Lonchura striata: one gene and its partners. The protein of the gene in region 3 purifies or fractionates together with the protein of the main gene of each other region. This does not show direct contact. Links are inferred from orthologs where the notes say so. Each region holds a gene or a part of one and is shown on either strand. Other genes may lie near its edges.

Region 1 (3,746 bases), on a different chromosome or scaffold from region 3:
TAAGTGACCAAAAGGAAGCTCTCGTTTGCACACTAATAGATTGCTAACACAATAAAGAAGTTAGCAGAAAACCTGCAGCCACAGTTTCAAGTTATACCACAATTCTACATAAATGGATTTCTAGTAACGTTTTTCATTCCATTTATACTGCAATACATCAATCTTATCTGTCACACAAAAGTGCTGCACACCTCTGGTGTTACAATTGATTTCTTTACACTTCTGCAGCTCTTCCAGTGTCAGGTTCCCAAAGAACTCTCTAAAGCAAGCACCCTGCCTTCCACAAGGGGAAAGATACATGAAGGAACTTGCCCAGTGGGAAGAAAAATAAATCCAGACTTTCCAGTTCCCAAAGCAGCTTCCTACGATTCTACTGTAGTTGTTATTAAGCCAGGATATATCTCAAATATTCAACACTTTAAGGAAAATGTGGATTTTTTTCCAAGCCAATACAAGAAAGTAAGATGAGGTTTGTAAGCAGAATTTCAATGGGAATGTTTCTATTCAGACATCCACTGAGCCATCAAACAGCCACTGCAAATTCATCCACACTCCAAAAGCTGTGGTTCAACACAAGGAAACTATGAAATTCAAGAAAATAATATTCATAAGGTCTTATTACAGAAAGGCATCACTTGTCTATGGCATGTCTACCTCTTCTACTCTGACTTTCAAGATCTGCCTTCAAATGCTGAGCATTTTAAACTTTGTTTTCATCCACTTCAGCTGCCTTACAGGACCACTTACAGAAACAAAGACAGAAAAATTAAAACTTCTCTATTATAAATATTGTTCTGTGTCATTTAATACTACTTGTAAAGCTGAATGAAGCAAGATTTTTGATGGCACTTTATTAAGTGTAACTTAATATAAAAGATATCCAAACATCTTTTTTCTCTTTATTCTAGGCAGTAAAATTTCTTTTTTTAATTTTTGGCTTCTTTTCAGTAAGTGAAAAACAATAGCATATTGTAAATACTTTCTAATACAACTCATACAAACTATTTCAAAATGAGGGTTTTTTAGACATTTTCCAGAAGCTGTCCAAGTATTTTAAAACTGTCATTTCTGTAGCTACATTTTAGCACTTGTCACCTACAAGCCATTGTCAGACTTATCCAGGACTAATGTTTGCAGAGTTAGCAAAAAGACTTATCATAATGCACAATTGGTTTTACTCACTGGTGCTTCAGACATAAGGACAGGATGCAAACTTGCTTCAGATTTAATATGCATCTTGTAAGTGTGATCCAAAATTGCCTGGAAACTATCCCAGTCTTCAACTATAACAACATTGAGACAAACAGGTTAGTTACTCCTAAGTTTTGTTTCATTTCATAAACACAAAGGCTTTCCAATTTAGTTTTTTGCATAGAGTTCTTCAGTCAAAAGCTGTCCTCAGCAGATACACATCTCCTTTAACAGATCTGCAGAATTCTCTTCCTCCACAACCACCACAACTTCAACAATTATGCTGAAAGCCCACTAACACTGAAAACCAACCACATCTCCCTGCAATTTGTAAACCAGGAATCTGTTCCTATGGCCTCTGTTGCTGTACATAACAGCTGCCAACACAACTATAACTTCCTAGCAATGCTATTTTAAAATCAGGTAGAAAAAGACAAGAGCACCATACTCATTCCATTTTTTAAAGGTGAAATGGCTTCCATATTCTCCCTTGGAACTCTCAAGGCATTAGTGTCTATGTAGTAAGTTGGGCCCCCTTGTTTGCCTTTGTCACCATCTATCTCCATCAGAGTGCTGCCATTGTCCCTTTCTAGCACCACACCAATGGCTGTTGGAAAATCCACCTGCAAGGCAAGAGGCAAGCAGTACATAAGGACTAGTAATGTTTTGGAAATTGTTGTTTTTCTCACAAATTCCGAAGTTTCTTTATACAATACAGTCAGAACAAGCCCCAGTGTGTTCAGAAGGGCTGTAACTCACAAAGAAGACCTAAGGCATAAATTCATGTTCAATTTCCATCGAGGCACAGATTCTCTCACCTTCGGGCAGTCCTCGCCTGCATAGCCTGCTCTCACTGTGTACGAGCCAATGTCAAAAACCAGTGCCCCGACTTCATCTGAAAAGATTGTTAAGAAAGAATGGTTATGCTCTTCTGCAACCCTGACCTTTCCCTGCCCACCACCTGCTTTACTGGCAAACAAGACAAGCAAATCAAGAGATCTTTTACAAAGCAAGGACAAACTTTTCTATTCAGAGCTCCCGCGACCAGAGAGCTATTGGAAAACTGCAGACAGGCTTTAACTGGTGCATTGCAATCCCTGTTTGGTGTTAGAAGAAAATTTTAGTACAAGAGAGAGAACGTAGTAGCAGCTTAACGGATGGCAAGATAAAGCTTTCAGAAAGTTCTAATTTAGCAGTCACACGAAGCCAGGTGAGCCCAGAGCCCCTGTGGGTGATGAGGATGAGGAAGGTGGTGCAAACATCAACTGTGTGAGGGAAGGGCTCAGGGCATAAGCGCCCATTCCTACGGGCCCGATCGCCGCTGATCTACGCACATCCTACAGGAAAGCTGTCGGAAACGAGCGGTGGCCACGGGGGGTGCGCAGAGGGGCTCGGGGAACCACACCCGGCTCCCAGAGAGCGGGGACCTTCCCCGGCCCTCGGCAGAGCGGGTCCTGCCCAAGGCCGCGCCGGGGAGGCAGCCCGGGGGCGCCGAGGAACCAACAAGGCCCGCCGCCGCCGCCGCCTGCCCGTCACGCGTGGGGCGCGGAGCGGCCGCGGCAGCGCCGGGCCGGGCTGAGGGAGGCGGGAAGCGCCCGCCGCGGCCGCACGCGCCGCCTCGCGGGGCGGGGGAGGGGAGGGCGGCGCCGGACTCACCTCCCCCGTACACGCCGCCGCTCATGGCTGCCGCTGGGCCCGGCCCCGCCGTCCGCCGTGCCCGCGCCGCCCGGCCCCGCTCCCCGCCTGCCCCGGTGTCCGCGGGGCCCGCGCTCCCCGCCCGCTCCTCTCGCCGCCGACCCAGCAACAAAAGCGCCCCGGCCACGCTCCCCGCCCGCGGCCCGGCCCGACCCGCAGCGCCGTCGCCCGCCCGCCAATAGCAGCGCCGCGCGGGCAGAACCGGCCAATCCCGGGCGGCGGGGGGCGGGACCTTGCCGCGGACAACCAATCCTGGAGCCGGACGCGAAGGGCGGGCAGGCGAGGGAGTGCGGGCGGGGGGCGGTGTGAGGGGAGCGGCGGGCGGGGATGGGCAGAGGGCAGGGGCGGGCGGGGCGAGCGGAGCGGGGCAGGTGCGCTGGGGACCGTGCGGGCAGTCACGGGACGCTTCGGGCAGGAGGGGACCGCGCTGGATCCTCTGGTCGCACTTGCCGGCGCCGGCAGGGTCGTCCCCGAGCACGTGGCACAGGATTGCGCCCAGAGAGTTCTGGGGTATCTCCAGTAAGGGCGACTCCTCATCTCCTATGGGCAGTCATTTCTAGTGAGCGGTCATTGCACAGCAAAGTTTTCTCACGTTCTGGTGGAACTTCCTCTACACCAGTTTCTGCCCCTTGTCTCTTGTTCTGCTGCTCAGCACCACCTGAGAAGGGCCTGATCCATCCTCTGACACCTCCCTGGTGACTTTGAGGTCACCTTCCGAGGCTGGAGAGGCTCTGCTTGCTCAGCTTCTCACGAAACACTGCAGTCCCTTCATCGTCCTCGGCTGGAGCAGCTCCTCCTCTTGTACTGAGGAGCCCAGAGCTGGACATGGGGAAGGCTGCCGGCTTGGCTGGACTCGGGAG
Region 2 (3,746 bases), on a different chromosome or scaffold from region 3:
AGTATGAAAACCAGGATGCAAATTTCAACCAAATAAGCATGTTTAGTTATATCTGTGTTTTGAATTAGAACATCAAAGACTTGGTAAAGAAAATGGTCAAGACTTCACTTTATCTATCATATTACTCATTCTAAGATCAGAGAGTTATTTTAATCCCATCTATATTTACATTAAAATAATAAAAAAAAACATTTACCATTTCTATAACTTTTTCTGTTTCACTGTCTAGATGTTCAATATCAAACTCATGAGCAGGTGCTGTTACCATTTTTCTTTTGAGCTCATCATTTGCCTGGGCCATCTGTGGTAAAAAGCTCTGCACTCGGTCCAAAACTGAAAAGAAACAATTATCACAGATATATTTATATATAAATATAAATGTAAGTCAAAGAGATGTTCATTAGTGTTCACATTTATACCTCAGATATGAGCCTTTATAGCTGATTCTGTTTCAACTGTAATTTCTGACTATCTGCAATAATTAAGTATAGACTGAAGGTCTCAAAGAAGATGGAAAAATTTGCCGTAGCAGATGCCGTAATAGACCAATGAAAGGTCAACATAGTTAACAAAAGAAGTTCTGAAATTAAGACAGTGGGAGAAAGATGGAAACTCCAGGCTGAAGTATAAAGCACTCATCCTCTACAGCTCAGTAGGACTTCACAAGAATTTTAAGGTAATCAATGGAATTAGGAGATTCACACTCATAACCCTTCCATGGAGAAAGACAGTATTTTCACCTCCAGAATTTCTTCAAATAAACTGCTCCACACATGGAGATGAGTCAAGCACTAGTTTTCTTTCTTTAAGAAGAGGTACTGTTTCAGGTGAGCACCACAAAGCCTAACAAGTATAAGCTATCTTTGAAACACTGTCATCTTTGTAGAGATTTTTATCCAATAAAGAATTTGATCGAACAATCTTTTAAAATTTCAGCTCAATCACAAAACATAAAAAAAATAATTTGACAGGAGTCCTTTTTAAATTAAATGCTTTTATACAACAAATACATCATACTGAGAAATTACTTCTAAAAGAGATAAGAAGCCCAAGCTACAACTCCATACTGGGAAAGAACCATCTGTCCCTAAAACTCAAGAGCTGTAATGCCTAGCATTGCAAAATCTAATTTTGCAGCAGCAGCAGCATTTACGTGACTCACCAGTGGGACATGGAACTGTAATGGGAGGAGAACCTACTATCTCTAGAAACTGAACCCAAAAGCTTCTCTCTTTACCTTTTAAAGGAAAGCACCAAAGCAAAAGCTGTGTCACAAATGTTACCTACTACTTGACCACTTCCAGCGACAACTCCTCCTTACTTACCATTGCTCCTTGGCACCTTAATAGTCTGTAAAGTTGTGGCATTCTTGCTGCTACATTTTGAATTAATCAGCAAAATGTCTTCCAGCCCTGCAAACAAACAAACGAGTATTGAACTGTTTAAGCTGACAAGTTTTCCGTAATTACCATCTGCTTTTGCTGCTCTTGGAAGAAAACTGGGCTGCACAGGTTCTCACCCTGCAGGCCACCTCTCACACACTCCAGTTTAAGCTGAAGTTCCTTAAGCTGTTTTTGAGACAGTTTAATTAAGCTAAAGTTAAAACGCATGAAAAACAACCTCTAATCCCCCTCTGCGAGGCTCGGTGAGGTGGGAGCTGAGGCGCGCCAGTCGCACCGATTAAATCCCGGTGCCAGCGACCTCCACTAACTGTGGGCAGCCGGGAAACCCAAACGATGCCAGGAATTCGGCATTAATGACCCATTAATTATCCTTATGACGGCCGGCGGAGCCATCCGCCCGGCATCATTCACCAAAGCGCACCGCTCTATTTAACTTTTCTCTCCGGTCACATAGAAGCGTCCTTACGACTGCCCATAGCTCAGCGCGGATTTCCCCGCTTATCTACTCCGCATTACCCCTCCCCGGAGGGTAGCTCTTCAGTACACGCGGGACGCGATCACCAGCGGGGCACGGGCGGCACCACGAGCAGCGTGGCCGAGCCGAGCTCCCGCTGGCTGCAGGCGGCGCCGGGCTCGCCGTGCCGGGGCCGGGCTCACTCACCTGGCCGGGGCCGGACTCACTCACTCACCTGGCCGGGGCCGGGCTCACTCGCCGTGCCGGGGCCGGACTCACTCACTCACCTGGCCGGGGCCGGGCTCACTCACTCACCTGGCCGGGGCCGCACGTCCAGCAGCTCCCGGGCCGCCGCCGCGCCGCCGCGGCCCGCCATGCGCCCGCCCGCGCGGAAGGGGAGCGGCCCGCGCGCCCGGCCGCGCGCGCCCCCCGGCGGGCGGGAGGAGCAGCGGAGGCCGCGGCCGCTGCAGGCCGGCGTAGCCCGGGAGAGGCGGCTGAGGGGAGATGGCGCCACTCAACATGAGCACGTCAAGGGAGGGTGGCAAGAGGATGGAGCCAGGCTCTTCTTGGTGGCACCGAGCAACAGGACAAGAGGCAGGAACCGATGCGCAGCAAGTTCCACCTGAACATGAGGAAGAACTTCTTTACTGTGCAAGTGACCACGCGCCTAGAACACATTGCCCAGGGATGTTGTGGAGTCTCCCATACTGGAGATATTCAAAAACTGTTCGGACACAATTCTGTGTAAAGTGCTCAAGTACAACGCTGCTTAAGCAGGGAGGTTGTACCAGATGATCCACTATGGTCCTTTCCAACCTGACTGATTCTGTGATTTGGCACAAAAAGTCCATCCCATCACCATTAAAAACCTGTGGAACCAAGCTGCCAGCAGGTAACTACTGTAAATGCAGACGAACACAATGGGAAGAAATGACAATGTCTGACTCAATTCAGAAGGCTGAATTATTTCTTTATTATCACTATGCTAAAATACATTAATATACTATATAAAAGGAGAATACTAAAACTACATTCTACTTTCTCTGACTCTAACTCTCCCACAACTTGTGACCCTCTCGCGAGAGTCCGGACACAGATGGATTGGATTGGCCATCAGGCTCAAACAATCTCACCAGAATCCAATCAAGCACTCACTCCAGGTAAACAATTCTCCAAACACATTCCACATAGGAAAAACAAGGAGCAGAAATAGAAATTGTTTTCTCTTTCATTTCTCTCTGTGCACCTCTATGAAAAATCCTGAGAGGGAGAGAAATGTGCTTGCCACAGGTAACATCATTTGAATGCCTGTCAGTAGCTGCTTATCTCTCAAAACTCTCCCATTTTCATTTTCAGAATTTGATAGATGAACTTAAAAGTTAAATGCCAGACCCTGAGAGAGCTGTAATCATCCTCTGGAAAACAAACTTACACAACCACCAAGTTCAACTGACACTGTCCAGTCTGTTATTCAGGATTTCTTCTGCAGTTTCTGTCTTTGCATATCTAGACAATATGAAAAATGCAAAAAGAAAATTGAATGGTTTATAAGAAACAAGATAGGAAGTCCAAGATGAAAATGAGAATAAATAGTAATCAGGTAAGTGGTGTTTATAGGCCCTCATTGCAAAGAACACAGGAAAAAACCAAATCACCCAGATCCCAGTATCTTGGAATTAACATGAATAAGAAGCAAACCTCTGCAAGGCCTCAAGCAAGAGACCACCCTGCTGTTTTCCTGACTGACTGTCCCAAACAAGTGTCCTCTGCCACTTCCCCAGCCAACCCACAGTGCCAGGTGCATTCCACTGAATTTGCTACCTGCACCTTTCTTCCCAACTGCACTCCAGAATTTCCATTTCCCAGAAAAATCCCCTTACTAGCTTCAA
Region 3 (3,746 bases):
ACTCTGGAGTGGTTTTACCCATTGCAATTGCTCGAAGCTCATTGGGAATACGTGCTGTGGGTGCAGCACAGCCTCAAATGCTTACAGGAAGGCCTTCAAGATGCAGAATAGAATTATTCCACAGTTTCACTGGACACTAGAAACTAATGAGCGACACCGAGCAGGTAAGAGACCATCCCCACCTTCCTTGGCAGGGGAGCTGGACTAGGTGGTCTCAAGTGGTCCCTTCCAACCTTAACGATTCTGTGAATCTTTGAAAAAGTTTTAGAGAACACCCTTGGAAAGTCTTAATTTATTTTTGTGAGCTAAAGCCAGCAGAGGTTTTGTGAAGGCTCAGGGCTCCTGGCGCACTGTCAGCGGCTGTGGGCGGGCAAGGGACAAGACAGCGAGCCAGGGACACCCAGCGCTCCCGCAGCCCCGGCAGCAGGACAAACGCTGGCTCCAGCGCCAAATCGGATTGTAGAACGAAAGAAAGAAAGAAAGAAAGAGCTGAAGTGCGGCAGGGCCAAAAAACCTGCGAGCAAGAACGAGCTGGCTCCCCCTGCGGAGAGCTCCGCTCGCCGCTCCCCAAAACCGCCCTTGTCGATGCAGAGAATCTCAGAACCACTTAGGCTGGAAGAAACGCCCAAGATCAGAATCCAGCCTATGACGGGTCACCACCTTTTAACCAGACCCTGGCAGCGAGTGCCACGTCCGGCGATTCCCTGAGCGCCTCCAGGGACAGCCACCCCGCCACCTCCCTCCTTCCCGGCCCTACTCCTCCGCAGCGCCCGCGCCCGCCCGGACCGCCGGTGCGCGCCGCACGCGGAAACGGGCGGGCGGACCCTAAAACCCCGAGCCCCGGGGCTGACGGGCAGGCTGGGCGTCCAATGAGCGGCGGGAGCGCCGCGGCGCGGGCCAATGGCGGGCCGGGGGCGGGGCGCGCCGGAGCCGCGGTGAGGCGCGGGCCGCGTGCGAGCAGCGCGGGGCGGCCGGGCCGGAGCTGCCGCTGCCCTGCCCCGCCATGAAGATCGAGGAGGTGAAGAGCACCTCCAAAACCCAGCGCATCGCCGCCCACAGCCATGTCAAGGGGCTGGGGCTGGACGAGAGCGGCGCCGCCAAGCCGGCGGGGGCCGGGCTGGTGGGGCAGGAGAATGCGCGGGAGGTGAGCGCGGGGCCGGGCCGGGCAGGGGCGGCTGACGGTGCCCGACCGCGGGTGGGAGCCGTGCCCGGGTTCTGTGCGGCTGCTGCGCTCTGAGGCGCCGGGGGGCGGCCGCGCTGTGCTGGCTCTGCTCCTGCTTCGCGTAGCGACGGGGACGGTCTCCCGGGTGCCGGCGTGCTCACTGGGGTGTTACAGGCAACGAAACCGAGCACAAGTCTGCGGGTTTGATGCACGTAGGGATTGGAGCATCCGCTCCTGTGCGGGCCGGATAAAGCCATCATAGAATCACAGATTGGTTTGGATTGGAAGGGACCGTAAAGATGATGTCTCGTTCCAGCCCCCTGCCGTGGGCAGAGACTCATCCCACCGGACCAAGTTGTTCAGAACCTCATCCAGCCTGGCCCTGAAAGAAGCTCTGTAGGGGATTTGTGGCTCAGGCAGCGAAGATTAATTTCTTGCTTTACTTTCAAACCTTTGTCTGTGCGTGGGACAGCGAGAGGGAAAAGCAGTCGGGGCTCACAGATTGAGTTTCGTTTTCTGTGGTTTTTAATGTGTGTCAGATAAAATGATTGTAGAAAGTATGTTTCCCGAACTTTCTTTTTGTGTGCATGACACTGAAATCTTTATTTTTTGTAAAACCTGTTATTTCTAAATACTTTAGGTAATGTTGGAACAGAAGATACTATAGCAATACTTGTGTTAACGGTATAAATGCCTATTTAACTTACAGGCATGTGGGGTTATAGTGGAGCTAATCAAAAGCAAAAAAATGGCTGGCAGAGCAGTGCTGTTGGCAGGACCTCCAGGAACTGGCAAGGTATTACTTTTCTGTTTTGTTACAAAATAAAGTATTTCCAAATCTGTTTTAATTTGTCAAAACCGTTTTAGGGTAGTGGTTACAAAGTGTTTTCATATGCCAGATTTTTTTTCAATCAATGTACTCATGTAGTTTTCTACTTGATATTTTTGCTTTTGTGGTATCATCGACACTGGGAGTACCCGTTGTTGTGTTCAGCATCTTTAATGTGAAACCACCTCTTGTAGGTTACTAAACACATCAGTAGCAAGAGCTCTGAAAAAGTTTTAGAAGTTACTTTTTTATTAAAAGCCAGAAAGGTTTTTGCTTGGTTTACTTTTTTTCCTCCATGCTATTTAGGCTTTTTGCATCTGTAGCAGGTGTCAAATTCAAGCAGCCAGTATGATGTCTTCAGGGTTTTTTAAAGCCTTTGGCCAAGGTCAACTGTGTTTGAGGAGGGTTTTTGTATGTGAGAAATATATGTCAGACAGAATAGCCATAAATTGGTAGGTGATATATAGAAGGTGATACAATGAGGAAAGTTAACTTTGTGCAAAAATAATAATTTCTTAATTCTCTTCAAAATTAATGTCTGGGTTTTGTATTTCTTTTTTCCTTTTAAAGACTGCTTTGGCTTTAGCTATTGCTCAGGAACTGGGAAGCAAAGTTCCTTTTTGTCCTATGGTTGGAAGTGAGGTCTATTCCACTGAGATCAAGAAAACAGAAGTTCTCATGGAAAATTTCCGACGTGCAATTGGTAAGTTTCAGGAAAAGAAGAATGAAGTGTTTGCATGATACTTTGCTTTTTCCCAGTCATCTGAAAAGGAAAAACTTTTCAATGGTCAAGCCATTTTCAGGTTTTCATATACTTACTTTTTTCAGTACTGATTCTAATTTAGTGAATCTTTCACACTTAGTGGAGTCAGGTTTTGTGTGTACAAAGTGTAATTTAATTTTTGTATTTTGGTTTATACTTCATCAAATTCTTTTATCTGTCAGATTCACCTCTCCATTTTGCCTATGACTGAATAAAGCTGAAAGAAAAAGCAATTTTTAATTTCTTACATTAGCAGAAATACTTGTAGACAGAAAAATACTCTTCCTATTTTTTGTTCTAGTGATTCCACCCTGGTAAATTAACACTTTTAATCAGGGGCTCACAAACAGCAGCATTAGCCTGACTTACTATTCCAGTGAGCACAGAGAAAGTTCCATGCCAACTGAATAAACATTGTAACTTAATGTCTTCCTCAGTTCTATGCTACATTTACAAGTTTGATGTAAATTGGTTTAATTTGCAACGCAATCTCAGTGACTATCTAAAATCTCTTTACACAGCTGCTGCTGACAGCTGACAAATGCAGAGAGAAGTAGCCCTGGTTTGTGTGAGGATTGGCTAAAGAGAACCCCGTTGATTTTAGTCCTGAATGTATTAACAGAAATTTTCCTGTTTCAGTACCATGTTTCCTATTTGGCTTCATCTGGCAGCAGCAGGGTGAAGAAGTCTCTCAGTTCTTCAGTGAAACAAAAGTATTCCATTGACTTTTATAAGGAAGCAACTTTCAGTAGTCTCTGGTCTTCTGGTTACCATGAAACTGGCAGGGCCTGGGGGAGGGAAGCCTCAGTAGTCTGCAAAATTTCCTTGATGTGATGAAGTTCCCTGTCAGAGGTTTAGAAACCTGAACCAGCAGGTGGAACTTAGGCCATCCATGTTGTCAGTGCTAGAGATAGCAGAGGTTTAACAGCCAGCTACATTGTTAGTTCTCTGCATTTCCTGAATGTCAATAGAGAGACTCTTCTAAACAAATA

Evidence for each region.
Region 1: the proteins of RUVBL1 (region 3) and ACTL6A purify together in Homo sapiens (affinity purification with mass spectrometry; 10 studies listed by BioGRID and IntAct, counting the BioPlex papers as one, with this or other methods). This does not show direct contact. The link is inferred for Lonchura striata from reciprocal best matches to the Homo sapiens genes RUVBL1 and ACTL6A.
Region 2: the proteins of RUVBL1 (region 3) and NOPCHAP1 purify together in Homo sapiens (affinity purification with mass spectrometry; 4 studies listed by BioGRID and IntAct, counting the BioPlex papers as one, with this or other methods). This does not show direct contact. The link is inferred for Lonchura striata from reciprocal best matches to the Homo sapiens genes RUVBL1 and NOPCHAP1.

Annotation. Positions count from the first base shown.
Region 1 is NC_134612.1:20,306,147-20,309,892, forward strand, and holds the start of ACTL6A (actin-like protein 6A), read right to left. Parts: upstream 2,912-3,746; 5' UTR 2,873-2,911; coding exon 2,848-2,872; intron 2,087-2,847; coding exon 2,010-2,086; intron 1,815-2,009; coding exon 1,640-1,814; intron 1,284-1,639; coding exon 1,183-1,283; intron 1-1,182.
Region 2 is NC_134607.1:20,280,093-20,283,838, reverse strand, and holds the start of NOPCHAP1 (NOP protein chaperone 1), read right to left. Parts: upstream 2,257-3,746; 5' UTR 2,234-2,256; coding exon 2,173-2,233; intron 1,413-2,172; coding exon 1,326-1,412; intron 334-1,325; coding exon 197-333; intron 1-196. UniProt on the Homo sapiens protein: Client-loading PAQosome/R2TP complex cofactor that selects NOP58 to promote box C/D small nucleolar ribonucleoprotein (snoRNP) assembly. Acts as a bridge between NOP58 and the R2TP complex via RUVBL1:RUVBL2.
Region 3 is NC_134614.1:13,220,610-13,224,355, forward strand, and holds the start of RUVBL1 (ruvB-like 1), read left to right. Parts: upstream 1-930; 5' UTR 931-1,003; coding exon 1,004-1,144; intron 1,145-1,871; coding exon 1,872-1,958; intron 1,959-2,561; coding exon 2,562-2,694; intron 2,695-3,746. UniProt on the Homo sapiens protein: Possesses single-stranded DNA-stimulated ATPase and ATP-dependent DNA helicase (3' to 5') activity; hexamerization is thought to be critical for ATP hydrolysis and adjacent subunits in the ring-like structure contribute to the ATPase activity.